4 linked regions of the Lepisosteus oculatus genome follow. The protein of the gene in region 3 purifies or fractionates together with the protein of the main gene of each other region. This does not show direct contact. Links are inferred from orthologs where the notes say so. Each region holds a gene or a part of one and is shown on either strand. Other genes may lie near its edges. The genes, in order: strn, strn3, slmapa and pdcd10a.

The links.
Region 1: the proteins of slmapa (region 3) and strn purify together in Homo sapiens (affinity purification with mass spectrometry; 5 studies listed by BioGRID and IntAct, with this or other methods). This does not show direct contact. The link is inferred for Lepisosteus oculatus from reciprocal best matches to the Homo sapiens genes SLMAP and STRN.
Region 2: the proteins of slmapa (region 3) and strn3 purify together in Homo sapiens (affinity purification with mass spectrometry; 5 studies listed by BioGRID and IntAct, with this or other methods). This does not show direct contact. The link is inferred for Lepisosteus oculatus from reciprocal best matches to the Homo sapiens genes SLMAP and STRN3.
Region 4: the proteins of slmapa (region 3) and pdcd10a purify together in Homo sapiens (affinity purification with mass spectrometry; 3 studies listed by BioGRID and IntAct, counting the BioPlex papers as one, with this or other methods). This does not show direct contact. The link is inferred for Lepisosteus oculatus from reciprocal best matches to the Homo sapiens genes SLMAP and PDCD10.

Annotation. Positions count from the first base shown.
Region 1 is NC_090712.1:6,771,020-6,778,784, reverse strand, and holds the start of strn (striatin), read right to left. Parts: upstream 3,016-7,765; 5' UTR 2,861-3,015; coding exon 2,648-2,860; intron 1-2,647. UniProt on the Homo sapiens protein: Calmodulin-binding scaffolding protein which is the center of the striatin-interacting phosphatase and kinase (STRIPAK) complexes.
Region 2 is NC_090703.1:5,557,953-5,565,940, reverse strand, and holds the start of strn3 (striatin-3), read right to left. Parts: upstream 3,007-7,988; coding exon 2,695-3,006; intron 2,470-2,694; exon of another isoform or gene 2,064-2,469; intron 1-2,063. Other genes in the region: ap4s1 (AP-4 complex subunit sigma-1), read left to right, coding at 5,669-5,956, 7,217-7,384, 7,837-7,923. UniProt on the Homo sapiens protein: Calmodulin-binding scaffolding protein which is the center of the striatin-interacting phosphatase and kinase (STRIPAK) complexes.
Region 3 is NC_090699.1:56,626,898-56,633,991, forward strand, and holds the start of slmapa (sarcolemma associated protein a), read right to left. Parts: upstream 3,014-7,094; 5' UTR 1,694-3,013; coding exon 1,496-1,693; intron 1,239-1,495; exon of another isoform or gene 1,031-1,238; intron 1-1,030. UniProt on the Homo sapiens protein: Associates with the striatin-interacting phosphatase and kinase (STRIPAK) core complex, forming the extended (SIKE1:SLMAP)STRIPAK complex.
Region 4 is NC_090708.1:4,828,051-4,835,503, forward strand, and holds the start of pdcd10a (programmed cell death protein 10-A), read left to right. Parts: upstream 1-4,437; 5' UTR 4,438-4,576; intron 4,577-7,453. UniProt on the Homo sapiens protein: Promotes cell proliferation. Modulates apoptotic pathways. Increases mitogen-activated protein kinase activity and STK26 activity. Important for cell migration, and for normal structure and assembly of the Golgi complex.

The sequences.
Region 1 (7,765 bases), on a different chromosome or scaffold from region 3:
TGAATTCATTGCTAGCATACTGGGCTGAATCCTGCTTTGGAAAAAGAAAATCCCCAAGGCTGGTAAAACTTAATGACAGCCCTATATTCTCAGAACATCTTTATCATGTCTAAAGCCATTCAGCAGCTGTCCAGATTACACGCTCCTATTTCACACAAGCTGACTGTCCGAGCCCTCATTACTGAACACATGCCCATGCGACAGCACAGCAAACAAACAACTTGGAAAAGTGCTGTGTAATGCAAACCATAGCCCGACCAATCTATAGCCAGAGCAATGTAGGAAACAACCACAAACTGCTCCTTGCCACTGGATAAAATAGCATTTCCTGCTTTTTTGGCCTATTTTTTTTTCCTTCCAGTATTACTTTTAATGATGTGAACAGCAAACCAAAATTCCACGACCTTACTGTCTTCTTCAGCAAGTGTAAGTCAAGTGTCTAAACCTCCGATTTTCACAGCTAAACCCCCAAGGTGTTTACAGCATTGCGCTGCGTCAGGGTTTTTTGTAGAAACAGTAACAACTGCTTGCATTTGTGTAATCAGAGAAGAGAGTCCAAGGTAGCACACACACAAAAACATCATACATCCTGGCTTGCAAAGCAAGACCGCTATTATACCGTTTGCTAACTAGAAAACATTCATGTCTACTGAGCGTTCACTATAAGGAGAAAACTTTTTCAGTACAAAAAAAGGGAAGAAATGAATTTCTCTCCTGCAACAAAGCATTCTGAACTCTCACAGGCCTAGTTAAACAGAGGTCAACTTTATTGAGGAGGAAGAATTTAACTTTGCAACTGAACTGGCCAAAGCCAATGGTGAGATGACTTTCATTTACTGTAAGTGGCCAGCTGCCCACATCAAGCAAAAAGCACCTCCAAAACTATCGGCATTGGTCCTGAAAACCCCCTGCTGTGCCAGTTGTGCTCTGTTTCTCTTGTTTCCACACAGAGCAGACTGTCAGGCCAGAACAGATAAAAATCTATCTGGCTTCGCCACTCTCTATTACACCTGATCTGTGCTCACCCAAGACCTTCAGTGAGCAGGTACTCTTTGTGGACAAACAATCGCCAGACTGGCGTGCTTTAGGGCAATTTTTGGATGTCGGCTTCTCATGCGGGATGAGATAATTTTTTTCTGCATTCACCACTACGTGGAACAGCCAAGCTTATCGACAGCGCAGGCCCCTCATAGTGCATGAGGAGATCCTGTAAGAACAAGAGAGTGTGCGTGGAGGAGGCAGCAAATCTTAAACGCTGCTGTAGTTTAGATCACCGATCTCAACAAGACCAGACCCCCGTCCCGCCCCACACCCGGGCCCCCTCTTAAACCCCAACTCAACAGGTGAGCGGACAGTCTTTTAAAGACACAAAGCGGAGAGGGACATTTCGACTCCCCCTCTCTCGGAGGCTGCCATCAGCTCCGACCCCAGCGACGCAGCTCAAAATGCTTAGTGGCTGCGGCACCAAAGCTCATGGCCCTGCTCCAGATGCCAAAAGGATTTACTACAGGGCACTGAGAGGCAGTGTGCACCAAGAGGAGTGAAGGAGCGGGCAGCAGGCCCTCCTCAAGCACCAGGGTGCCCTGCACAAACGACAGAGGGGTTAGGGTTGGTTATATGTCAGAGCGCACTAAACTCTCAGTAAGCAGCCTGCTACTTTTTAAGTGATTTGCAGCAGCTTTGGCTTAGTCACCCTGTGTGTCTAATGCACTTACTGTTCATAGACGGCTCAGTGCCGGACTTAACTACTAATGAGAGTTTGGAGGCCAGTGTCTCAAACCCTCTTTTACTATTCACGACAGAATTTAAACAGTAGACCTCAACGTGTTTCATTGGGGGGGGGGGGGGGGGGGGGACTATTCGGTAGATTTTCAAATTAATATTTAGCATCTGTCACGAAATTCGCCATCGTTTTTAATTCTGTGGCGTTTAAAATCTCAGCCACAAAACATTTGAGCGTGGTTGCATCGTATGTGGGAGTCACTTCGTATCAAAGAATTATTGACCTCTTCCCTTAAGACAGAAGCCCTACATCACACCTATCTAACCTCCTTGTCTCACGAATTTACATAACTTTACATTTCAAAGGTGCAAACGGAATTCAGTGCCAAGAACTGATTGCTCTGACACATCGGAGTACACACTTCTCCGAGCACATCGGAGAGCTAAACACGGTTACAAATGTATAAAATGCAGGTCGGCTTTTGTCGTTGATAAACGGAGGGGTGCAGACAACAATTCACATGCTGTAGCCCGGAATCCGAAAGCGTTACACTTCGCCACCTTATCACATCCTGAAACATTTCTACGCCTCTGAACACAGCGAAATGTGTTTTCATGCACAGGGTCTGGCACCCCTGTCGAAACGCAAAAGCAACCCGGTACGACATTGCACGTCGGCAAAACACGCGAAACCTCTTGTTTTAAGTTACACATTTCAGAACTCGTGTCCGATCGCAACACCCAGCCTTGGCCCTAGAAGCTACACAACCCTTAGCTGTTTATGCACTGTTTGCTACTCAGTAGTCGGGGAGGAGGGGGGACTGAGCCCGTTCTGTTCAGTGCCGATCCGGAGGGCAGGCAGGGCTCTCTCCGGGACCGTCACGAACGCGGACCGGACCCAGGCTGGGCGCTCAAGGTTGTTTACCTGTAACTCGGCCCGCTCCACCTCCCACTGGGCTCTCTCCACCTCGAATCGGGCCCATTCGTGCTGCAGGAAGTGCAAGATCCCCGGGATACTGTACTGCGCCCGGGCCGCCTCCCCTCCGCCTCCCTCGGGCTGGGGTCCCTTCCCACCGCCGGGCAGCACCGAGTTATTGTTGTTGTTAAAAAAGACTCCGGGCCCTGCCTGTTCTTCCATGGCCAGGCCAGGTAACAGCGCTCGGTTCGCGGAGGGTTGACACGGCGCTTCTGTCTGACGGCTCTCCTCCGCCGCTTCTTCGCTCACTCTGTGGTCTCCGCCTCTACACGGAAAAAAAAAAATCAAGAGCTCTCTCTGCTGGGGACCAAACTCACTTCTGACAGCTGGCTGTCATTCAATGACGTCAAACCCCATGCACACGCCCATAATACATTAGGCTTCCGTATATCTATGGTCTTTTTACTGCACTAGTTTTTCAAAGCATGATGGGATTTGTAGTCTTCTCAGCTCCTCGACAGTAAAACCACCATAATTCGGGTTGAATTGAAAAGCCAGGTTATTATTTTAACACAGTTACCTCCTGTCACTGATTTCCCAAAGGTATTCACATATAGAATTCAACTGAAGTACACAGATAATTTAATAGATTCCTTTAATTTGAAAACAATACCTGATGTTTTTCAGAGAAGAGCATACAGCACATACTGTACATGCGAGAAAGAGTAAGACTGTACTTTGTTACATGCCAACTTTGAAAAGCAGCATTGGTTTTTGTGTTTGTGAGTTTAATGACTGTTAATTGTCTTTTATACAAAACATATACAAAATTACTTGAATCAATCTGCATTATCACTTCATCATTAATTATCTCTTTGACTAAATGTACATGTATATTATATAATATAGGGTAATGTACAATTCTTCAGGTTAGTCTACTGATTCTGCTACAACTAGAAACTAAAGTGACTAATACTTTACAGTACAAAAATAAGTCTTGACCACTTATCCAATTACCTCTTGTATAGGAGTTAAAGTAATACAACACATGCAACTGTTTATAAAGCACTGTATAATATAGAGAAACTAATGACGCCTGCGAACCAACACCTACTAGTATGTCCAGAAACTGGCTATCTAACAGTTAAGAGCTCACTGTAGCAGCTTCTAGTCATTTAACTTATATGTATTATCTGTATGTTTAATAGAACGTCTTTTAGGGCTTTTGAGAAACTAATTATTTAAAGATGCACAGGAAACACGAACACAGCCCTTGAGAGCAGGAGATGAGCACCACTGTATTAATTAGACTATCTAATTTGATGAGTTTTTCTAGGATTCATATTATCGTTAATTGCTCATGACATTGGCAAAAGGTGATTAGTGTGTGAAACCCAGCTCTGTTTTATCTAATTAATTTTTTTACAGATAGGGAAAAAAATGATGAAAGTTTACAATACGGTTTAATTATCAGAAATGTGAGAACCCTACAGGAGAGTTCCTTTTCTGAATTGTGTTATTATCCAAATGTTAAGACTCACTGCCCAAGGGTGACTCCAGAGAGGTCTGCCTGCACATTGCTATTAATTGATTTCTTTTATTAATCCACTAGATGATGACACCAAATAAATAAATGGTGTATTGTAAATAAATGTAGAAATAAATACATTGCAGTGTCTTTAGCCTGGAATACAGTGGAACTCAAATGATGTCATTTGGGAAAATATGGATGAATAAACTATATATATAGACAATCCATATTTTGCAAAAACAAAATCAGCTAGTCAACTCCAAAACAAGTTCAATTCCAGGTCTTGCAACCACTCATGTCAGAAAATAACAAGTGCCATCTGTGTGTTGTGATCTTTAGTAATATATTTATGCAAATTCTGCTGACATTGTAATTTGTCAACTTACAATGCAGGTTTTTGACACAAGTAGCTACTGTCAAATTGACACTTCACAGCTGTCATTCCTTAGAAGGAAACGATGCTGCAGACCTTGCTGTTCACCAGATGAAGAGGAAGGTGTATCTTTATAACTGCCAGCTATCGAACAGGAACCAGAAAATCCACTGAAAACTCACTACAAGGTCAGCCATGAATGTTGTTACTTTTATTACAGTTTCATTCTCATCCTGAAGAAATGGGTTTTTAACCCCCCGGAAGTCATACATTTGGAACAATAAATTGAGACTCTGCATTCTTTTCTACAGATTTCATTTTGCTGAAAAGGTTGTCTCTGGTGCCACTGTACCGGTTGAATCTTCCTTCCCTGAGACATCCACTCGGTAATTGAGGAACAAAAGCAGCATGCTATGGTAGCCATGGTGATCAACATCAAAAATAAAACGCAGTTAAAAGAGGCCTGTCATGAGTGGGCGAATCATTCAGCCCCCAACATATGGCATGAAATTCCTTTGGTGTGTGTGGGTTGAGACTTTTCAATAAATTTGTTTTTAAAATTGCAGAAGAGTTTCCCCATTAAACATTTGTTAAGGCATGTCCACCTCACAGGTCTTTGAACTCTAAGAAGGGTAAATCTGGCCTTCAGAAAGTTTACTTCGTTTTTCGAACCACAACCCGCCGAAGTATCTTGAGAGGCTCGTAAGACAAAAGAACTAAATTTAACCAGGGCTGTTTATTTACTGACAAGCCTTCCTGGGAAAGACTCTTGTTGTGCAGTATAGATGCTGAAGAAGAACTCCACTACAGAATCTTTTTTTTTCCCCAAAGCCAAATCAGGTTTTTAAAACTCTACAGATGTGCGTAGCAGCCTGCACTCTCCAAAATGCTTTAATTAGATTTCTGTCACTCAGTTGTTGTTTTTTTGCAAGGGGTCAGGATGCAAAGGAGGGGTGTTATCGCGTTTTCTCTCTTTGACCCCTCGGTAACTTTCTGGGCCCACTTGTTAAAAGATGCACTTTGGAATTAGGCAGAGAAATAAAAACATTATCAAAGCCTACAATAATAGCCAGGGAATTCTAATTTTGTTGTCACCTTGACAACAAGCTCAATCTCCCATACACTCAGCTGTCAAAGGTCTCACTGAGGCCCTGGCTACCTCATTACCTTTTCTAGCTAGGCCGAATAGCCGCCTCCCGCTTGCTTTAAACTTTCTTTGCCAAGGTTACACTTCCTTATCCCCAACATTTGCCTGTTTTTTCAGACCTGTTTCATTTACAAAAGGTACCTAAAGGCAAATGGCTTTTCATTGACTCAGTGAACAAACTGGCTAATCCTGAAAAGATACGGTAGCCTAGTGTGGGCTAAAACGTGGAGACGCACTAAGGTAAAAGTGCAAAGTTGCATTGTGCTTCACATGGAAGGATAGCCTTTTGGCCTTGAGTTCTTTCTTTAACCTTCGATGAACAATTCAGTCATTGTTTCCATAACAAACAAATTTCAGTGGAACATCAAATATTCTGCAGAGCTGCACAAAAGCCATAATAAATACTTAAATTGAATTAATGTCTTCTTCCCGTCAGATCTCCCTTCATATGCAATGGGGTCAGTGGGTCTTTAATTTGCAAGTTGGTCTGTTTTAAAGATTTCGCTTACTCATAACTGTCAGTTTTGTACACTTGAAACCTGCAAGCAAAAATTGCCTGAATGGAGTCCTTAAAATGTCTCAGTTCAGTACCTTGAAGTAATCCATGGCAAACGTTCCTGCTAGGGGACATTTATCAATAACCCTTTGTTAAGATAAGGGCCTTTTAGTACTCCTTGCAGCCTCCAAACTCCGCTAACAGGGCTCCGGCAGTCAAGTCCTCAGCAGCAAAACAGGTGGAGAAGACGGAGCTGATGTATCCTGGAGAACCGGGAGGTGCTGGCAGATGTCGGCTGCAGCAGGAATGAAGTCTGCAGTCAAGAATGAAGCACTTCGGCCTCCGTGTCTTTGGATCAGGATAGGCCTGGAAGCTGGTGAGAAACTCCGCAATAAAAGCACAGGGCAGAGAGCCCTGTCTCGTTATTCACCTCTGGGGTCAGGGACGACAAGTCATAGAGGGGCAGTCAACACATTTCTAACAAAGTAACACCATTTGCAGTTTGATTTGAATGTGCCCGAGACACCAATACGGTGTTCTTTAACAAAATAGATTTGTAAAGCCATGGTGAAGACGTGCAGAGAATCACACAACAGCATTCAAGGTCAGCAAGCATGAGGCGTGTTTGAAAGAATTACTTGCTCTCCCGGCAGAGTCATCATAAGACTCTTGATGCCTTTCGTGTGAGCTAGACTCCTGTGAACTGCCAATGTATTGTAAAACACTCATGTAAGACAGTAGTTCAGCCTCAAGTTAGGGTTGTGTAGGGTTTTGCAAAGGGAAATAATAAACCAACTGCACTGAAAGTGGAGTAGTCTGTTGTGCAGATAGCGGTTTGTATTAATCCAGGGGTTGTCAGCATAGTGGGGGCCTGCAGGCATTTGCATAGGGGACATTTCCACCTGCAGTGCTGGGGTAAGTTCTGGGGAAAATCCCAGAATAAGGATGTCATGCTGTTAGGATCATCAGCCCCAAGAATAGCTGAAACTGCAGAAACTTTCAGGATCTTCAATAATGTACAGCACAGAAAAAAATGAAAAGCAGTTAACAAGTCTAGTAGGATCACTGTAAGATCACCTCTGTATTGCAGATCACCGGGCAGGCACGTGGATTTTATTTTCACCTGGGGGGAGGAATTTAATTCCATTTATTGTTCAGCACAAGCCCTGTTTTATAGTCAGAAGCTATAAAAAGCTCATAAAAAAAAACAAGAAAAAGGGGAATTAACTTTTGGAATTTGCCTTTTAACCAATACTATTGAAAATGTTTTTTTTTTTTACTGCAAAAAGACAAACTTGGAGCACAGATTAAAGCTGGAAAATTGCATGGCTGTACATATTTCTGTTGCACTACTATTATATTCACTAGAGAATCAACTGACTATGGTAAATACTGTACAATTAAAAATAAAAACAATTAGAATTTGTTGCATATTTGTTCATTTCTAAACCTTTACCTCACTTGTAATAGATTACCCATATTAAAACACCAGAGCAATGGAACTATTAACTACATGGCTGAAGCACTGGTGCTGTGATTTTTAGCCCACAGTCACATTACAAAAAGCCAAGCTCCTCAGC
Region 2 (7,988 bases), on a different chromosome or scaffold from region 3:
TGCTCAGCACTTCCTGCAGTAGAATGTCCAATCTGCCCCTTTTCCCTAAGAAGCAAGCTTTTTTTTTTTTAAGGTACATGTTGCAGTAATGGACTTGTTGTTGCTCCCAGGCATTTTCTCATCACCGGTCGGCCACTGTCTTGCCATAATCACAGGTCAGTTCTGCTTTTCTTTTCACTAGTAAACAGATTAAGAAGATTTAAACAGCAAGACTCCCTCATGCTGCCCACATGACCTTCCTTCTACCAGAAGCCTCTACACAGATGGACTCCTACAGCCACTGAAGACAGAGAGAGAGCACAGATATTGTTTGTATAAATATTGAGGGACCAAGTGTTTTATAAATAACAGGGAAACTGTTTAGCAAACAACTGGCACTGAGAAGATAGCGTCTGCAGCTAGCCATCTACAACACATACGAGGATATATGCATCGACATCCAGCACAACAAAATGTGATTGAAGTGTGATCAATTTCACAGACCAGACACTTGCATAACAACACTGTATGAGAAAATGTTGGGCAGCCTTCTTAAAAAGGAAGACTATTCCCAATGTAGTGCATTACACCTAGTATAAAACAGTAACTGCATTTTAGTGTACCAGCTTTATTTTGAATGTAAACCTTCACAAAATCTGCAGTTAGTGCCAAATGGTGTTCTCAGAAGGTAGCTATAGGCATTATAGACCCGTAGAGTTATTTATCATTTTGACAGGAACACAGCAAGTGATTAAAAGGCCCTGAATTTCTATCCACAGATTTTAGCACTTCTGAATGGCTTTAAAGTGTATCTTTTAACACTGCAATAATCCATAAAGAAATTTCATAACTTCAGTATCTGTCCTTAGTAAATCTGACAATTTTCATATAGTTACCATTCTGAAATATACATGCACATGACAAAACTTTCAAGCAATATTTTGTATGCAAATACAGCTGAGTCTGTCTAGGTCTCCGTAGGAATATGTGAAATTATGTTCAAATTCCCTCAGCATAACAAGAGAGACTAAGGCTACACACACAGCTGAATCTTAATTTCAAATAGCTCCTTAGTTCAAGACACAGTAGTAACCTGCAATAAGAGCATGATGATGAATCACTAGATGAATCTTTCCACAGTTTTCACACAACACATTAGCACAATTCTGGGAAAGTTCCCAGGCTTCCCGACAAGTGATGTCATCAGAACCAACTCTGATCCCGCACTCGCTGGGGATGTCAGAGACATCATGAATGACCAAGAGGCCACCACTGAATAATCAAAAACCGTTTCAATCTAGAGCGTAATAAACATGATGCAGATTTAAAACAAACATTTAAGTAATACTAACAAAACATGAACTTGAATTAAAAGCAGTAGATGGATTGCAACTGTCCGGTAGGGTAAACCGGCAAGCTTCTGCCCACCCGTTGTATAACAGAGAGGCACGCAGCTGTCAAAAAAAGCCAAATGCAGAACAGCAGCTATTGACCTATATCACACGCGCAACACTTTTGCACAGACGGGCCCTCACACCTCACTGCCCGGCTGGCACTAGGAAGTTGGGGGGGGGGGCTCTATTTTTAACCCGAGTAGTAATCGAGGGCATGTGATGGGGACGTTACGAAGCCATGCACTTTCACACTGTTTCGTCTCCGCACTTGTGACTAACACACAAGCCGCCGCCGCCGCCGCCACCCTCCTCCCCCAGTCCGGCCGGCTGCACAAAGCGCGTCCACCCGAATCTAAATCAAGCGGGTGTTGCGAGACACGGACACGTCCCCGCGTCTGCGTCCCTGGCGATTCGTGGCAACCCTTTGTGTCATTTAAAAAAAAAAACAACAACAACAAAACACGGTTAATTCGGGGGGCGATTCTAAATTAACGGGGCTTCGGGGGCGCCTGTTGGCTCAATGCACGGTGCTCAAGAAGTCGTCGGGTGACGCGCTCCACCATCACACAACAATCACAGACTTCACAAGCCACGGCCGTGATCAACGACCGTGACCGCTGTTGTTATCACACCACCTCCACCCCGCCGACAGGAGTGAAGCCGCTTCCCCTCCGGTGAATCCGTGAAGGGGAGTGGGTGAACTCGTCCAAGCAGCGCAGAGCACTAGGAGCCGGGCGCCAGGCTGCAGCTCGCCTTTGCCTGGCCAGCGCACACGCTGCAGCAATTAAGACACCCCCCATAGAGACCCCCCCCCGGGCTTTCCTGCAAAGCCCAGGGCCCGAGCCCTGCTCGTGTACGGAGGGGGCCGAGCTGCCGGCCTGCTGCGTCGGTTCTGCACCGCGCAGTACTGTAACAGAAAGCGGCCCTCCGCCTGACGCCATATTGGCACAACCAAAATGGCCGCCTAGAGGATCCCTCTATACGCGAGTTACTGGTTCGCTCGGTTTTCCTGTTTTAATCCCCCCCCCTCTCCTGGTGTAGAGCTAAGGGAAACCCCAACGAGCCCCCAGACCGACCTTCACTCCAGAGCAAGCAGGTAAAAAAAAATTAAAAAAACCACGCAGATCGTGTGTGTGTGTGTGGGGGGGGGTTCTTTTATTTTTTTTCCTTTTGCTTCGGCTCCGCCGCTCCACTTCCGAAATATTATTTTCGGGCAGTCGTGGCCGTGCGTCGCCTTTTCTGTAGCAAGGGGCGTGCTCAGCCCCGACTGCCTCTAGCTATCGGCGGGGCGAAATACTGCGAAAGTGCCGTGATCCGATACCTGGAGTTCGGCCCTCTCCACCTCCCAGTGCGCCCTCTCCATCTCGAACCGGGCCCACTCGTGCTGGATGTAGTGCAGGATCCCCGGGATAGTGTACTGCTGGGGCCGAGGCATCTCGTCCTGCTGCGGCGGCTGCTGCTGCTGGACCACCAAGGCACCCCCTCCTCCCCCGGACTGGGGATTCATGTTGTTATTATTATTCCCCGGCTGCTGCTGCTGCTGTTGTTGTTGTTGTTGGAGCTGCTGTTGCCTCGGCGCGGCCATTCCTACTCCTCCTCCGCCACTTCCACCTCCTCCCGGGTGTTCATCCATTTTTTTTTTAAAAAAAAAAAAGGGAAGAAGAAAAAAAATTTGCCCCAGCGACAGCTAATGCCGCACAGGTCCCTTCGCTCTTCTCGCTCTCTCTCTCTCTCTTTGTGCTTGCCCCCAAACGAGTGCCCCGCCGCCGTGTGCAATTCGCAAGCGCCCTTTCCGCCGCCGCCCCCCCCCAGCTGGGGTCGCGGAGGTGCCTGTTGTGAGGTGGTGTTTGGGTTGTGTGTCAGAGAAGCAACGAGCTGCCGGCCGCCATTACAGTCCCTGGATGTGAGCCTGTCTCCTCACTGCGGGGGTGAGGGAGAATGGGCCCGCGCTGCATGCCGGGACACACTCACCAGGCGGTTTTTTTTTTCTCATTTATATCCAAATACAGACCTGGCAGGCACCGGGCATGCGTGCCGTCTTACATGGTGGCCGGGCTGGGGGGGGACGGCGGTTTGGCTGTTCCCAGGCACCTCGTAAAACGTGGGAGAGCTCAAGCGTTATGTTGGCCGGTGCTGACAGAGAGTCCGAGAATGTGCACGGAAGAAAGAAAGAAATAAAGGCTCCGTTGCACGCACAGGTCGTCCGTAGGCAGAGCTGGCAACGTGCGCGTCGGTTTTCGTTTCTCGCGTGGATTTTCTACACACACACACACAAAATGAAAACGTGACCTTATATGGGGTGAAATAAAACGTGGGAGCTCCGTGTTTTATATTTCGCGTTCCTGCGCCTGTCATTGTGTGAGAAATTGGTCGCACCGGAGCGGGTTCTCGGGCTGCTGGGAGGTGTCAGTCCGCACCTTGACAAAATCGTCATCTCGCTCATTGCGACGGAGAACAAAAGCGCATGGTACAAGAGCTGGATGTACAGGGGGCACAATCCCGATATTCTGAAACATTTGTAGAATACTCCGAAATCCAGGAGTGTATCTAGGGGGATTATACTTCGAGCATGCTGTATTAAGTAGACTCGGTGAACAGTAGCTGGCACTTCGCTGTTCTGTCTGAGCCGAGAATCGAGGTTGATGTGATGTCCAGTGAAGTTATGAGGTCGCCTAGTGAAACAAATCTGGGCTCCTCTTATTGCATTTTTAATAGCTCGTATTGATACAAACGTTATGGAGATAAACAGGGAAGTACAGTAAATGGGAAGGGAGATCAGGTGTCCATTCAAGCATGTTCCGTTATTTCTTAGTCAAGTGCAGTGTCACTGTGAACTTGTGCTTTGGGATAAACTGGATGATATGAACTCAGAGAGTACATGCAAACTCCACACACAGCATACCCCAATCTGCAATCAAATCCAACGCCACAAGACCTGTGATGCCACAGAAGTGTGGATTGTTAAAATATATTTTAATTTTTGTATAAGTTACGTTAGCCAGTGAACTTTGTGCATTATTTTTTTTTAATTTAAATCTAAAAAAATGACAGTATGACACAATTTGTCCTTGTGTTCTTGAAAATTGTTGAAATTTAATAGAACAGAATATGCAGTAATTGATAGGTACATACTTAAATGTTCCACCAGAGATGAGAAGCTGCTATCACAGACTACAGAATGATTTATTTTTTACACAGTAGGCTGGAGTTGACCATCCCCAGTGGCATGATGCGACACTGAATTTGAACACATTCATTCGTTCAATGTCCCCTGGCTGTCTGGTATATTTGTAATAATTAGTGCTTGTGTTAACATGCAGAATTTACTGTTTTTCTGGCAATTGAACCAGGATCCTTGACTGAATTCAAGCAAACAATGCAGTGTGCCACTTCAGTAGCAATTCTGAGAATTTCTGCTGTTATAGTTTAAAACGTATATATTTTCTATCAACATAATTATTAATACTGCACAGATACAGCTGTTTAATCACCGGCCACTCCCATGGGAAAAGATAACAGGTTTGTTTTCTTAGGTTAATGGTGTGCGGCAGTCATGTGGTCGGACGCGTCCTCAGCCAAAACATTTAGATGTAATGTGCATGTTACAAAAAGATCATGCACATAGTGTCCACAGAGTATTTCACTGCGCTGAGGTGTGGACTGGCCTGTCATGTTGTTAACTGGTCCTGCCTGCACTATTGCAGCGTGCAGTACAGTACATATGAGTTGTGGCTGGCCAGAGCTGGTCTTCTGCTCCAAATGTGAATCTGAAGGGAGTGTAGATGGCGTTCCCACAGTGGCTTCTGCTAACCTGCTTTAGGAACAAAAGTGGAATTCTTTGCTCCTCTGTCGTGGCCTTAAGGAATGACGTATTTGTTTCTGTTCTCTACGTTCCCTGGGGCTTTGGTTCTGTCTGTGCTCTTTTTTAGAGCAGTGCCTTTAAAAAGGACGCACTTTCTTGAGGACAGTCATTGTGTTTTGGGACGGGGACGGGCGGTGGCCAAAGGGCACAGCCCAGCGTCCAGAGTGCAGACCTGCCGCTGACGTGAGGCAGGACGTCCTGTCTGCTGCCTTTCCCCCAACCCTGCCCCAGAATTGTCGGTGATCTGCCAGGATATTGCGACAGTTGCACAGCGCTCCTGCACAAGTGACGAGCGCTGCACATGCGTCACGACAGCGGCGCTTTTTCCTCTGCTTGAGGCACTTGTGAGCACATAAGATAAGATCACTTTATCGGCCATATCCAATTTCTTGCGTTAGGAATTTTTCTTTTCGCATACCCCAACTTGCTCTCCATGAGACACACGGACACACAGGCAGGGATAGAAGCTTGGGGTCAGAGCACAGGGTCAGCCATTTATACACCACCCCTGGAGCAGTCCTGTTGTAGATTTTCAAGTTCAAGTTCACGTTTATTTGTCATTCCAGTCATCTGCAAGTATACAGTGTTACGAAATATCCTTCCTCCTAGTCCACAGAGCGTTTTTTCCAGACCCAGAACAGCCACTGCGTCTGTGCACACCACCATCTTGATCAGTCATCTTTTAAGTGTTGCAGTTGAGAGGAGAAATTTTCATACACCGGTAAGACACATGGAAAGATTTGCCTGTCCATTTCCTAACCGCTTCTTCCAGTTCGGGTTTGCTGGGAGTGGGATCGTGTCCCAGGAAGCAGTGAGCGCGAGGCAGGGACTCCGGGACATTGCAGGGCCCTCACAGACACACACAGACACGCACACACTCGCACTTGGGGCCAGTTTTCCCAGAAGCCATTTAGCCTACCAGTATGCTTTTGACTGTAGGAGGAAACCCATGCAAACGCATGGAGAACATACAAACTCCATGCCGACAGCACGCTGGGAATTGAACCTCGGCCCCGGCTCTGTGAGGCAGCAATGCTTACCACTGTGCTACTCCTCGTATATCTATTTAGGGTAAATTTAGCGTCAGCCATTTAGCTCCATGCTTTCCTCGGAGTGTCTCAGTTGTTTTGTTTGGGGGTTTGACGTGACTGTATGCAAGTAAAAGGGTTATTTGGGGCTGTACCTTTGTGGCTCATTGGCAAAGAACACGTTCTCCTTGCTAATATATACAGCACACTTGTCATTTCAGAGTGCCCCAGAGACAAGGAGGGACAAAAAATGTGTAAACAGATTTGGTTGTGCTTTGTAAGAGATCTGAGATGTAGGAGATATTCCCATCTTGCTGTTCAGGTTGAAGAATCAGACACTGCGCCTTGTTTCCACACTACCTATACACTATCCGCATTGTACACTGAGCTGGATATCACATCACACCTATCCCTCTCTGCATCCTTCTGTCATATTAGATACCCCAATTACCCTTCCTGTGATAAAGAGTTTCTAAGGTATTTTTCCTTGTTTCACCGAATGCAAATTTTCGTGCATGATTTCATTACCATTAGCTAAGAAAATACAGGCGGGTTCTGATTTCAAAATTGGATCAAGAAAAGAAACTGCTGGACTTCGTTGGGCTCCAGTTTGGAGTCTGAGCCTCTCTGCACTGCAGGGAACAGTTATGGCTCGTGTTAGAAGGGAGCCCAAAGGAAAGGAAAACTTTGTTCCTGCTCTCCCCACTTCAGTTTCCCATATGTACCATGTCTGTTTGTGTGCTTGATTATTTGTTTTGCATTTTTCATAGAATATGTAATAGAACACCTCACAGCCTCTTTTTTTCTCATGCAACTAAGGTGTATTAAAACGGCTCAAATTAGACCACTAAGCCACAGTTTATATTGTTCACATACTGTTGCAGCTTCCCTGCAGCTTCCATCTGCTTTTGCTTTTGAAAGCTCAATATTTATTTAGACTTATTGCTCTTCAGAGAGAAAGCCGCAGGAGCCTCCAGAAAAACATGATCAAGTTTTTCCTGATGGTTAACAAGCAGGGTCAGACACGCCTGTCCAAGTACTACGAGCACCTGGATATTCAGAAGCGAATGTATTTGGAAGCTGAAGTCATTAAAAACTGCCTGTCCCGGAGAAAAGAGGAGGTATGCAATATGGAATTGATTTTTGGGAATCATCATGGGGTATTTATCCAGAAACCCTGGTCGAATTCTACTGAACTGTATTGTTATTGAAAGATAATCAGGGCGATGAGAGTGCTAACACTGGTTAAGTCCCATATCTTAACAATAATGCCACTTTCGCCTGGCAGGCTGAATACAGAAGTAAAGCTGTTGTTATGGATGTTATTGTATGTTACTAGTCTTAAACTACCCCAGTTCCACATGAAATAATACTTACCTAGAAACCAATGAAATACCTTTCATTTGGTCATTTTATATTTTCTTTATTATTGTACTGTTGGGAAGGGTAAAGTCATGTGATTGATTTTAACTAGCCTGTGACTGTGGAATTGTATGCGTATTGGAGACAGTTATGGACTGACTCTTCAAAGAAGAAGCTGTGTAGATTCTAATGAGGTGTACTGTTTTTTCAGTGTTCCTTTGTTGAATATAAAGACTTCAAGCTCATTTATCGACAGTATGCAGCACTTTTCATCGTGGTTGGGGTGGACGACACTGAGGTAAGCTAGTGTGTTTTGTATGTTTCCTTTTATGAACACACACAGCACTGAATATTATGGTCCAG
Region 3 (7,094 bases):
AAAAAATGTAGAACCCCTGATCAGAGCCCTGCTCAATTACACATTTAAATCTCAAATGTAATTGGGGATACAGAACGGGATAAAGTATTTTTAAACAATATCTCAGCACAAAATGGCAGTTGGCACTGGTTGTCTTCAGTCAATATCTAGGAATCTATATTAGTTGTTAGCCCTGCTTATTACAAATAACTTATTTTCAAGAGCCATTTGATTTATTTTTTTTTCACAAGCAGCCATTTCTGTAAACCCAAACCAGCACATACCTACCTACACATTATCTCGTTAGGAAGTGACATTTTCTGTCCTAAATTAAAAGGAACCCGGCCAAATGCAGCTCAGTCAAAAAAAAAACCTATTCATGCCTCAGCTGCAACGGCACAACACTGTGATTTGAAGGGGACTGAGAATATAAATGCCTGTCAACAGTCACGTCTCCCAGGCATGCTGCGGGCAATATTAAAGCCAAGAGAAGAATCAATAGACGTGAATGAGGGGGGGGGATGACATTTTAAATATTAAATTTACACCAGGTTGATCTGTAATCTGTAGAGACTGGACCTAGTCATAGTCATCAGACGGGATTTCACATGTAAACGGTGCAGCAGCACATTCCCTCCTGCGTCTCACATCGTGTCCTTCCACACTGCCATCCATGTTGCTCACATGGATAAGGACCAAGCGTCGTCCGTCTTAACGGCGATCTCGGGATTGCGAATGCTTAATGAGGGCACATGCAAATGACACGGCGCTATGTGGGTGGAGTGCGATAGCCAGCTGCCCCTTGCAGCGAGAGTAGCTCCAGATCTGCAGCCAGCTGTGCTCAAATCAAACCGGAATCGTCCCCCTCCACCCCCCGAATCTGCGGGTCTTTCCATTTGCCTTGCAGGTTGTGTCCGCTACCATACAACGAGAGAAGCCAGGCAGCGACCGCAGACCACCCTGTAGTGCCAACCTACACGGAAACCCAGCTTTAAAGTCTTCAACCGGTAACAAAAAAAAAAAAAACAAAACCAGCAAGCCGATTCCTCACCTGCTCCACCAAAGATCGTCCGCTTTGATTCTCCGGCACTGAACCTGCTCTGTTACCCTTCTGGTTTTCTCAACACACGTCTTAGGTGTGCTAACCGCCCTCCTCCCGCGCCGTGCAATTACTAACAACCCCTTCACAAGCCAACAACTCCCTATCCAGGGCCCTATTCCCAATGCTGGTTTTCCACAGGCTGTTGCATCGGCTATATTCCCCCAACATGGTTTCCAGGCGAGGACAGAGGTAGCCTGGCGCTTGAGGGGGGGGGAGTGACGCTCGGCATGCTTTAATGAAGAACGCCATCAGGAGGAGGAGGAGGAGGAGGAGAGGAAAAACAGCAGCCAGGTAACTCGCTACACACGTCCCGTCCCCCCCCACCCCGGTGCAAGCCCGCAACCCGCGCTCGTTGCCCAGGGCGACAGCCCGCTCGCTCGACCCGTCCCGCCCGCCTGAAAAGCGACGCCTCACCTTGCCCGTCTTGTGGTCGAACCACACCAGAGCGTGGTTCCTCGACAACACCTTGCAGTCGAACGTCGCGTTGTTCTGGGCCGGGCGGCAGCGAGCCACGGAGCGCCCGATCTTGACTGGCTCGTCCAGGTACACATGGCGTTCCTGAAAGGGGTGTGAATTCGGGCGGCAGGTAAAGACAGCCAGCGCTGAAGGCATTGATGATGACTTGGGGGCGTCGCTCCAACCAGACACGAAAGGCGAGGCTGCTTGATCCAGACTGGCAAAAACTTTCGATTCTCCCCCCAATTTCGGTTTCCAAGGAAAAAACCCCCCCAGAAAGAGGCGATTGCGGGGGGGGGGAAAACAAACAAAACAAAAAAAAGGGGGTGCTATACTACATAACGTCTTTAAAAAGATCTAAGTGCAGGCCATCCTTTCATCCGTCAGCAAGAGACCCATTGTGTCATACAAAATCCGCTGCGCTCAGGAATACCTTCTCTTCCATAAAAGTGTTATCCCACTTGCAGGCACCGCCAAAGCCTTGCTCATCAGTCAACATTGAGGGACTTGATCTTAAGACAAATGTACCCGATTCCCCAAAGGTACCGATAAAAAAAAAAACAAGATCGCTGACTCGCAGTGTCGAGTGTCACGCGTGAAGATTTTTACACATTACAGGATCAAAGATGATCATTTCACCTACGCGCCCGGTGATTAAGACTCCTCATTGAGGGAGACTTAGCTCGACCACCTCATCACCCTCCCCGATCTCCACCGGCTAAAACCCCCGTCACCCCCTGAGTGTTAGTTTCTCGTTGTTTCAACACAGGCGTTAGGCCAAAAATAAACACACACACACAAGTTATCGCACAAATCCAGGAAAAAAAAAAGGTATTTCCCCTCTTCTGAAATACCACATTAGCTGTGAGGCTCATTTACCACTCCCCGTTTCAGAACAGCCCGAGTGTTAAGTCAGCTTCAGCACATTCGTCTGTGGCAAAAAAATGCGCATTTCTTCCTCCTTTTACGACCAGATACCGACGAGAGAAACAATTCCGTCTCTTTGACAGTTTCTACTGCATGCCTGAGTTTATAAATCCCCCAGCTGCCCCGATGGGCCTTACTCGTGAAGTGAGCTTTAAAAACAAAAAAAATCCTTTTCACTCCCGGGAGCTGTAAGCGGGGCTGCAGCGCAGTGAACTTTCCTGACCCGAAAATCAAAACAAATCCCCTCCTTTTTTTTATAAGCAGACGCGGAAATTTTAACACGAAAAAAGCTTTCGCTGCCGCTGTTGTCTTCTTCCGTGGGATCTGGAACAAATTTCGCGTTAAGCCATAAAGTTACCTTGGCGTTCAGGAAGGTCCCGTGGAAATTGCAAAACACTCTGCCGGCAGCAGTATTACTGCCCACCCCGGTTAAACTGAGGACAGACCCGGACGACTTGCCCTCCTCCTCTAGTAACAGCCGCCATACTGGATATGAGAGACACACTCAGACCGGGCTGCGTCGCACTCAAGCACGCGACTGGCTCAACGTCGTAAAGAAGGGGGCGTTAACCGAGGGCTGAGACGGACAGGTCCTCCTCCAATGAAGCGCGAAGCTTCGAAAGCAGTAAACCAATGACAGCAAAGCAGGAGACGGAGGTTCCTTCTAGCTGTTGTAACGAGGTGGTTGGAGTGGACACGAGCCAATAAGAATTCCGGATATGAATGCTTGGTACGCCCCATAAACGCCCAGGGTTATGTGCTGAGGAAAATGCGGAGCGTTTTTTTAATATGTAGCAGCTCTGTTGCAACGTCATGCTATCGGATCTACGTCGGTGTGGGAAAAGTAGTTGTGGCAGTCTGCTATTTGCACATTAAAATGAATCGAGTTGAAATTAATAGTTTCAAAACAGACAACAGGTTTACAATTGAGATATTTCGAGTTCATGAAAGCTCAAGTCATTGAAGAAAATGTTCATAGGCATACCGGATAAGACTGCTCACATAATTAAAAAAATGCTTAATAACAATGGATGAACCCTTTCTTTCACAAGGGGACTTGGCTCCATATAAAAGTGTGCTATTTTTATAGTTCAGAGTAGATTGAAATTAAAATAAATATAAGTTTAAAAACGAATCTCTAAGTATATATGTTGGAAACAAACCCAATAGGTTTCCGAATATAAAATAGCCAGGAACTACTAACTGAATGAATTCAGTGAGCGCTAACCTCTCCAGGAGTCTGCTTTCATATAGCTCGAAGTAAAGGGGTATGGACTAGTGTGTTGATAGAAACAGCTGTCACACCAAACGGGGTTGCCCAGTTAGGGTCTAATATCACCCTGGACAGGCTAAGCCTATTGCTTTATGCTGTGTCTCTAAAGAGAATTAAGGGATTTATTCCTTTCTAAATGTAATTAATTTGACCCGCAAGCAGTCAAATACAATCATTTCTTTTGGATTTACGCTTTTCAGGGAAGTAGAGGTCAAGGTAAAAAAAAAAGCCTATTTCATTCTCCCTCCCCCCCCACACACAATTATCAGTAGTCCCTGTAGCTCTTAAAATCTGTAATGGCTGAAATCTCTCTGTAATAGGAATTCCATTTCCATTCTTTTCATTCTCTGTCGAAATACATCACGCACAGTCTGAGCTCTGTAATCCAGACCCTGCCATTTGGAGTCACGAAGCACAGTCTCCTATGCTGAAACAAAGGCATCCGCACCTAGGCCAAGCTGATTGACGACTGACAATTGACGAGCTGCAATTTCTGAAACAAGTTCTGTTTTCACGGCAGCACGGTGCCCTAGTGGTTCAACAGTTTCTGACCCAGTGGTTAATTGGCTTCTGGGAACATTGGCCCTGGCGTGAGTGGACTTTGTGCGTGTCAACAAAAAGGAAATCGTTCCATCTATGGCCATCTTAATGCCTTTTCAGAACAACTGTGCACTTCAGAGCTGTCTCAGGAGAAAGGCATGTGTTCCACTGCTGTCATCTCATTCTTTGCAAAATCAATTTTTGCAAGAGCAATTCACAGTAACAGAGGACGTGAAGAAGGGTGTTGTGTATGCACATTTATTTGTTTCTTAGCGATCATATCAGGAGAAGGATATTTGTAACCAAGATCCCTTCCACTGCTTACAAGGATGACTGGTCAAGGAGCAACGGTTGGACCAGCACTGGTATTAAGCAGGTTTGTTTGGTGCTCAATTGTAAGTGGTTATCAAAAATGAACTTTACATCTTTGTTTGTAAAAATGATGTATAGCCCCTCATTATAGTTGATAGCATTGGTCCAACATAGGCCCTTCATAGTTAAATTATTTGGGAACGTGATCTGTAATGATTCCAAGGCCGAGACGATGAATCTTTGGGCTGTTCCCTTTAAAAGCCATCTCAGATGGAAAAGAGAGCAGTGAGACCTCTAATTGAGCAGGCACAACTTGTAATTATTGGATAGAACTATGCACTGATGTCACTCTGTCTTTGCCAAAGCTGCAAAAAGCAGAGTTCTGATACAAACATAGAAGCATGAGATTTAATCTTAACACATATTCCCACAAGCTTATAAGAAGAGAAACTGCACTGAATGACTACAAATCATCTAGCAGTCTGTTGTTTAACGATCAAATGTGGGCTCTCTGTGATCATGTAAATATGGTTCACTAACCTTGTCATGTGTAATAAGGTACGACAGAAGAAAAATAGGTTCAGCTTACTTTTTTGGGTAATGAAAACAACTGTTTGTCAGCTGGGAGCATTAAAAAGGCAGAGAGCATTATGGGTCATGGTAAATTGTTATGTCAGGCTTAATATGGGAAGATCTTGCAAACATTTTGTTGCTCAAAGGAATAAAGGTGGAGCAAGAAGAGATAGGAATCATAAAAATGTATTTATCTACTTAAGCCAAGGTAGCCCTTTTTTCCTCAAAATAAGCATTACAGACTCTAATATGGAGCCAGGCAATTTTAAAGCAGGAATGATTTGTTAAAATCCATTGAAAAGCATTTACAACACAGTATGCCCTTGTTAAACTTTTTGTGATCTCTGTCTCAAACATGAGATGAGCATCTCTACGCCCCAATCAAGGTTTGATAAAACTATGTACAGGATAGCATATTTAATATATCTTTTAATGGGAGTATTCAGTCTAAATTAATCAATTTATTACCCAACTCCAAATTCTGATGTTTGATCATGTCTGAGCAGTGGAAAGACGTTGATTTAACTAGTGTGCTGGTGGAAGAGTAAGGTGAGCAGGTGACCGAGGCACATTTTGGCTTAGAGTTTTAGGGAGTTGATGAATGACTAGGGACTTATATTCAACTCCAAAATTAAATCTAACTTGCACATATCACTATACTATGGTGCAATGCTGAGAATCTTAGGAAGATTAATTTTACTGGCTGGTCCTCTTGTTATCTTTTAGTAAAATATGAAATCTTTAAACATTTTTAAGGATTTCATAACACTGCAATTATTTTTTTTTTCAGGCAAAACTGACTTCTTACAATCCAGAACCCTCCCATAAAAACTGGACAAACTTTAAAGGAGAGGTAATAAGTCCAGTTATGTTTATTTTGAGTGATGCTCTGTTATCATTGTGAAAATTGTGGAAAATGCAGGAACTTAAAAACAAAACAGCACTCATAAGCATTGTACAGCGGGTATTTAATTGGATAATGAACTCCTGCAGTTGCTCAGACGGACTAAAAGAATGAAAGTATTGTCGCTTTTACAGAAGGCTTGACCTAATTGCATTAAGATCTGAAAAATATTGTGATCATTTGGCCATGCTGAACTGGAATATTGAACAGAAAGGATTTACACATGGAGGGTGAAGGCTATGAGAGAAAGGAAATTGGGAGGATCCCAGAAAAAGATAAAAAAATATGTTTTTTAAAAAGCAATTTAAAAACGATTTGATTATGGGTATTCCATCAGTTTTGTTATATAGTGTCTGTTTACATTGTAGTGACTAACTGGCATATTTGCAGATTAATTCTTTGTCGGTTTTTAATGAGAAATTCACATTTTTGTAATAATTTGATGTTGTAAAGTCAAAGATCAAGCATGAATGAAGTCACCGAATAAAATCAGTTTTAATAAGTTAGCTGAGGCATGATTAGAGTTTACGGGAGAAATTGAATCTCATACCACTTGAGGGAACATTCTGTCGTTCGGATGACAAAGAGACTTTTTGCATTTTGAAGCATTGCCTGTTGTCTGCTTTTTGAGAGCCTTGAGTTACTGTGGCTGCCTGTTATTGTGCAGAACAGAAGAGTGGCACTATTGCCAAGCTTTGTGCTAAAGCCATTAAGGAGCCATTAATTGCTGCCCTGATTCTTTATCTACTGAAACCAAGTCTGTCTGAACAATTTCATCATAGCAGGGCTGCATTCCAGTGATGTTTCAGCTGGGGCCCTGTTGAGGAACTACCTGGAATCTAAAACAATGAAACCAGTCTCCAAATTAGCGGTATTTTAAGTCCTTTCGTTCATAAGCAGATTACTGCAATATGAGTTTCAGACCTTTACAAAACATAAGGCTACAAAAGGCACCTGATATACACATTTTATACCTGACTATCTAGGTCTATGTTTATGTTGAAAGCTTAGTAATAGATAACGAGTAA
Region 4 (7,453 bases), on a different chromosome or scaffold from region 3:
GAAAGTAAAAAAAAAACAGCTGGAAGGGTCACTTTAACACAACACCAAACGAAAATAAATGCTACAGATTCCAGTCAGAGGTACAAACAAAGGATAAACAGCATAAACACAGACCACAGGCTTGGGCAGCTGTGTCACTCATTGTAGATTAGCATTTGCAAATACAAGGTTTTTTGTGCAGACATCTCATTTCAACCAGATCATGTCAAAGGTTAGAAAGATTTTCCACCACATATTGAAAAATTGCCTATCGCAGCTCACTCCCACCTTAATCCATACACCTCAATGTGCTTACTGTATTGTATATTAAAATCAAACATGTAATGAAGAATTGTCATGTTACAATCCTCCCACATACTGCAGATGTCCTACTTCAGTGCTGCACATTATTATACCGGACTCATTCCTGGTACCTGGGATGTCTAGCCAAAACAGGCTAGAAGATTCTTTATTTGTGGAATCTGACAATCAAGAGTGCCGACAGCAGCACAAAAAAACAGCAATGGACTGTTTATTAATTCACCACAGAAACCAACAGAATAACAATCAGGTTTTCCTCATCGTAGAAAAAAAAAACGTTCTCAGTCCGACTTAAAAAAAAGCTTCAGTCTTCTCTACCGCACATCTGTTCGGGCTCATTAATCATGATAGCTCTGATTCTGTAATGAATGAAATGCATACATATCCCCATAGGGTTACCCAACTTAACCCCCGTCAATCGTCAATTGATGGCAACCTGCTTTGATCACCGTTGCAAAAACCCTTCACCATAATTTAGATTCTCCAAAAATAAATTAGAGTATTCCGTACACTCCTGCACAATCTTATCACAGCAGGCAATCGCAGTGACAGGTCCGATCCACAGATTTAACAAGAGGTAGTGGAGTTTTCTTATCCCAAGTTTAGGAGGAGCAGGGAGGGCCAGTGTAGACAAATCCACAGTCTATTACAAGTCCCATCAGTTTCCTTCCCTTACTTGTTACCACATTCCTTCTAACACCAATCTTATCGGACCGAAGATGGGAAAGCACCTCCATCTTCAGCGTTCTGACCCATTGCTCATTATGGGCGTTACCGACATGATTCAGCAATGGGAAAAGGAGACAGGAATAAATCGATATAAACCATCATTCTGCATCAGGGGCTAGCATGACCATTTTATTACAGCATCGGTTCATTTAATTTATTTCTCAAGCAGACGCGTAACTGAAATACTGTTGAGGGTAGGGGTTCCCCATGCAAGTCAAGAGCACAAGGCAACTGCTCGATGTTACATTTCTAAAAGAAATTCTTCAGCAACTTATTTTGAAAAACAGCAGTATTTTATTTGATTCTACGGCTACATTGGAAAGCAGATTCCTTCACTCTTCAGAATTATTTAGTTTTATTTGAACTTACTATCTTACCTTTCTAATACACGTCCCCTGACCAAACAGCACTCAGGCACATAATGATCATGCCTGATGCTGGATACCTCATTGTTAAACAAAGTTGCTTTTAAATTAAAAAGAATGTATTAACGCATGCAATGCTAATTCAATTGGATGCCTTAAATTGGACCTTTTTTTTCCAGGCCAACATTAGTTCTTCATTTAGATGATACCAAAAAACAAACACTGAAACTTCACTGATGGCAATGCACCTACTGTATATACTTAAAACATCACCAAATACAAGAAGGTGATATGGGAATTTTTTTCCATTCCATGACATTCCTTCTCCTTGTGATCCTGAATGCTAATGACAACAGACTGTCCTTCAGAGAGATGCAAAAGCAATTAAACTTTGAGCTCCATCTCTACCGCCTCAAAGCATAATAAGCCAAATCGTGTGCAAATGAATTTGATGCAGTTTCATAAATTTACTCCAGACACATACCCGTCTTCTGTTTGTGTAGATGAATGCGCCATTTTATGTTGTTCGGGGCAGTGTGATGAAAGGGCTCATCTGGGAGATTAAGTTAAGCTTTTTTTCCAGCAACAGCTAGGAGGTATTATTCTGTACTTCCTGGCACCCTTCTGAGGAACATTCTAAATAAACTCGATTTTCGTAGCCCCACTTAAGTTTGCTTAGCACAATTAATAAATAAACCACAGGATTAATTAAATAAAAGGTCAACGGGAGCTTTAGAAATTATTAGAAACTCAATATGTGAATATTGCTAGGTTTTCCAAGCAGCCCATACTGCGGTAGAAGATATTTATCACTAGAAATGGGGATAAAAAAGGCAATTCAATCTCTATAAGAAGCAAACGTTGTTTTAAATATGACCAGACTTTAGATCGTTAAAGCAGGGCTTAATGTGCCAGGGTTATAGAAACCCACTTCTTTAACAAAGCATGCATGTCTCCTTGGACTTTTCTGTGCCTGAATAACTTTCTTAGACACCAGTGAGAGCTGTGCTTCAGAGATTTAAACAGTAATTGGATCTGCTGCCGTTTAGATTAATTGAGCTGAATAAAAGACTTGAAAGCTCTGAAAGGGATGTAGTGGCTTTTAAAATACACACAACCAAAGTGTTGTGATGTTACACTGGTAAAATACTGTATGCAAAACAGCAATTCATGAAAAGAATAATACTAAAAAACCTGAAAAAGAATCGATAATATATTCCTAAATTATTTGCCATAATCAATGACTTGATGTATGTTTACTGTCACACAGTTTCACAGAAAATGAAATGGTTCTAGAATTAAAAATTAAAATAATCTGATATCTTTTTTTTTTCTGTAACGCAGGGGCATTTCCGTCCTCTGCCTGCGCACAGATGGAAGAAAAGCCCCTACTTGCATGTGAAGATTTAGTCGGTATTAACATGACGCAAATTAAAGACCTCACAATGTTAACACAATGTTCCGTTTTTGTTACGCTAAAACGGAAACTGCTCAGTGATTTTAACATTACACTTAGCGAAGGTTCAAGTCGAATCCACGATTTCTAGGGGGGGGCGGGACATTTTTTTTATCGTAAACAGATTGGTTGCTTATTTTGTGAGAATAATTTTTGAAGGTGTGAAATCCACACCCGTGCTAGGAGACACGCCAGAATTTTAAAAAAACTAAAATCTATACAAATAATAAATTTCTCCAACAACGTACACACCAGCAAGGACAGTAACAAAATAAAACAGTATTTAACTAGCTGCTTGTTTGACACGTACTGTATACTAGAGGATTTAAACTCGCATACGTACATCAGAATAGTGCGATTCAGGAAGATCTTGTGAATATATGTTCTTGCCATGTGGTTATATACCAATTTAACGTACTAACGTTTTACACCCAATTTTACGTCTCACTTTTTACTTTTTAGGTGGATTATCTACAGATCACAAATGCCAAGACGTTTAATCTTTAAAAATATACATTTACAATGTCACGAGAACGTCGGCTTGGCAACGGATATATAGATATACAGCATTTTACATAACATACACAGCTTTTTACGTGAAATGTAAGAAGATAAGAATTCGGAAAGCTAATCCGTTCATTTGTATATTCTCTACGCCATTCACGTGTATCACGAGTTTAATATAAACTACCCAGGAGTCATGCACACCGTCGGCTCGTACATTATTAATATGAGATTCGGAAAATAACTTCACACACAGGAACACACAAGAATAGGTATCAGGAGAACAAAGGACCACTTTGCTATTCGCAACCCGCCTCTCTTGGTAACTAAAAAAAAAAGGCAGATTTTAGTCATTGCACAGCTAGTAAAAAAGAAAAACCCCAAAAGCCAAGAACTGGAGAGAAAAATAAACTTAGCCCTCTAAGAATAAAAAAAACCCACAGACACATCATTGACAGCGATGCTTCAGTTAAACGGAGAGCGATAATGACAACATGTTGATTCGTTTCAGCACAACGAATTAGGACTTGGTTTGACATTATAAGGCATTTAAATCCCTTCCTTACCAAGTGCTATTCTGCTAAGGATGCTTAGCTACAGTAGCACTCCGCCTCTCGGTGATGCTTATTCCTTTTGGACGCCGCGGCAGGTTCAAGACAGACCTAAATATTTTCACAGCCCGATCCCGCCTGCCTCCATACCCATTGGCTACCTCTCCCGTCCTACCTTCACAACACGCTAGCCTTTATGCTAGCCGTATTTCCTCTAGCTACTTCGAACTGCGAAGGGGTGGATTTCAGACCTGTCAGTGAAGATCAATCGGGCTGCTATCGCGTAGTAAAAAAAAAAAGAGGGCAAAGAAATGCATGATAACATGCGAAACCCGCTGTAGTCAATGAGCTACCCATCCGTGCACTTTATTGGCCGAGAGGAGTGTCACTCACTGTGAGGGGGCGGGGACGCGGAGGCGGCGAAATGCTTTCTGGTACTTGGAGTTTTATAGCACGTAAAGCGCCAATCTTCGCCGCATTAGAAAGGCTCTCCAAAGACTACAATTCCTACTACCGACCTAGCCGTCTATAAAGCTTTTTCTGGTTGGTGTACTGGGGACCTCGCCTCAACTCCCTGCGTCTCTGGTCAGGCAGAAAACTTCCGTCTTCGGTAAAAAAAAAGAACACATAAAAACGGAGTTTGGGGGCTTATTCGGGACGGAAAGAAGCAGGTACGTACTAAATATCAAAAACCGCGCTGAACGTCTCCTTTTTCTGCCAACTTCGTGTCGATGGGTTGTCACTCTTCGAGGTGCCCAGTGAAGTAGTTAGCGAATAGGTATTTCTAATAATGCTGTTGTTATTAATATCGTTAGCTTTCGTCTCGTTGAAGGTTTCCTGGTTCTAGCTTGTCCCCCGAAACAACATCCGCCTGACCGGAATCGGAACCGCCCGGGTCTGATACCGAAAGGCACCTCGTCCGAGTGAGCCAGAGGTCTACGGGCCTCGGCTCGGCCTGTTGTTGTTGGCGCGGAACTCGGTTAGAAAGGTGTCCGCCGGCCCAGCCCTGGGAGCCGGGGGGCTGGTCCCTCACCTGCCGGCAGCCCAGGGACAAGCCCGGCCACCCAGGCCTTGGTATGCGGATAGGACAGATTTTAAAGAGCTGTTTTTTCCGGGTTCTATACGTCCTCTCCTGGTTGTTTGAAACGACATAGCTATCGCGCTTAGATACAGTTTCGCGTCTCATTTTAAGCTGGAAAAGTTTCCAGCAGTGATCAGTGAAGCCTGGCTGGTGATTACCAGCCTGAACTGAAGGTGCCGTATTTCCCATTTTCTGTTTAAACCCGTGACAGCTTTGGAGATGGCAGACCGCCTCGGAGTGAACAGTGCGGTGAGAACAGTAACAATCCCAAAAGTGAATTAAACACACAGCAGGGTCAAATCTCGTTTCGTGTTCTTTATAGTTCGACTAGTGATGTTAAATCGCTACTTTAAAATGGGTTGCATCTGTGCGTTTCGCATTAGTCATTAAGCTATATGTGCATGCGTATCAGTTATGCTGAAATAAATAGTCTCAGAACTTTTAGACTTTTAGAATCATGAGAATATGATAGGAATTGATAGTGATATTTAATACCTCGCCTTACTGAGTTTCCTAACAGGTTCCTTCAGGCTGGGTTCAGCAGTGTGTGAAATGACTCTGTGGTCATCAGGCTTCTTGTCTTTTCACTTTCTAGAATGAACATCATCAGCTCTTTTTTTTTATTCCCTAAGCAGTTTTCAGTAATGCTTCAAAATAAATGCCCGGGATGTGACCTGCTCTTTATACAGCACTTTATGGGAAGCTGATTGCCATCAGTAAGTGTTTGGGATGACCCAAATTCAGTTTGGAAAATATTTATCTCAGTGTGGAATTTAATAATTGAACCAGCTGTATGCAGATATTCCCATAATGGGAAATGTGCTGTCCTCCCTCCTACACTGTATTGGTAGATGTGTGAATGATTATACTGTCATTTGAATCAAATCCCTGCCGGTACAACCTGCTATATATACTTAGCAGCTTTGATTTTTGAATCCCAATTTCCAATGCTGCGGAACATACGTTCAGCTTAAGCTACACATTCTTCTTGTGTCGGGGGCTACGTGCTGCGTGCAAACGTTTTTCCAGATTTTGTAAATGGTATTTGTAAATACCAACACTAAATGGTATTTGCCAAATCTTATTTACTGGAAGACATTTGACTATCAGGACTATGATTTGGGTGTGACTTCAGGTGACCTGAAGATCTTTCTTAGGAAAAGCTTGTATATTTTACTGCACACCTTGTGAACACCTGTTCATATGAGGTTGTACTTAAATTCTGGGGCCCTGGAACTATTCCCATTACAGAGCACTGGCTGGGGTGCAGAAACAGAGCCATCCAGGATAAGACTGAGGTTCTTGTCACTTCTAACATCCCAGATTTTGCTCAAAGAGTTGTTGTGTAGGCGAGTTAGGCAGAGGACTCCCAATCAAGTTCCCTTCTCCTGCTGATAATATGCAGCACTGACCACTCCAGTGTGTTCAAGGAATAAGAACATACCTCCCTGTATATTGGGGCGGAGCGGTGGCTCTCTGGCTAAGGATCTGTGCCTGCCTGTGGCTGAAAGGTTGCCAGTTCGTATCCCATGGCCGGCACAGGAATCCGACTCTGGGGCCCTGAGCAAGGCCCTTCACCCCAACTGCTCCAGGGATGCTGTATAAATGGCTGAGCCTGCTCTGACCCCAAGCTTCTCTCCGGCTGTCTGTCTCATGAAGAGCAAGTTAAGAGTATGTGAAAAAGACAAATTCCTAATACAAAATCCCGTATATGGCCAGTAAAGTGATCTTATCTTGTATCCAATCCTGATTTAGTGCATTGATTAAATACTTGATCATTTAAGGCAGTAAATTTAAGAGTGCAGAAAAAATTGTGATGTACGTTGTTTTTTAAAAGAGCTGTGTGGGAATGATTAGATTTTTTTCTTCCGTTTTCTGTTTTTGCTTATTTGGTAATATTTCAAAGACAATTCAATCTTATTTTTGCAACTATAAAGGGGTTTTGTTCTATCTCCGTGTACTACCCCTACCCTGACAAGCAAACTGGACAGAAAGCAGTCCTATTGACAGAGGCACTGAGAGAGCCTAACTGCAATTTCTGTATTCAACTGAAATGCATGCCGGTATTAATATTGAATTCACAATCAGTTGAAAGATGTCAGCAGATTTAACAACATGCACAAGAATAAATTAGGCAGAGACTGAGACTGTGAAAAGGTGAAAAGTGGAAGTAAACCTGGACAGACATGAAGCATCCAGAGCTGGTCAAAGGATTTATAGGTCCTAAGGACGATGGCGCCTGAACCTGTCAAAAGCAGAGAGGGAAGTGGAGGGTTCATTGCTTGTTTGTTCAACAAGCAGTTTATTGCTTTTGCTGTAAAATCCACCTCACAAATGCAGCTTGTATCAGATGGAACTCAAGATTGGAGAAATGTGCACACTTCTTAACGGACATAAAAAGTGACATGCTCACTTACAGTCCTGCCAAAAATGGAAGGAACTGGCTACAGTTACATTTTACTTAAAA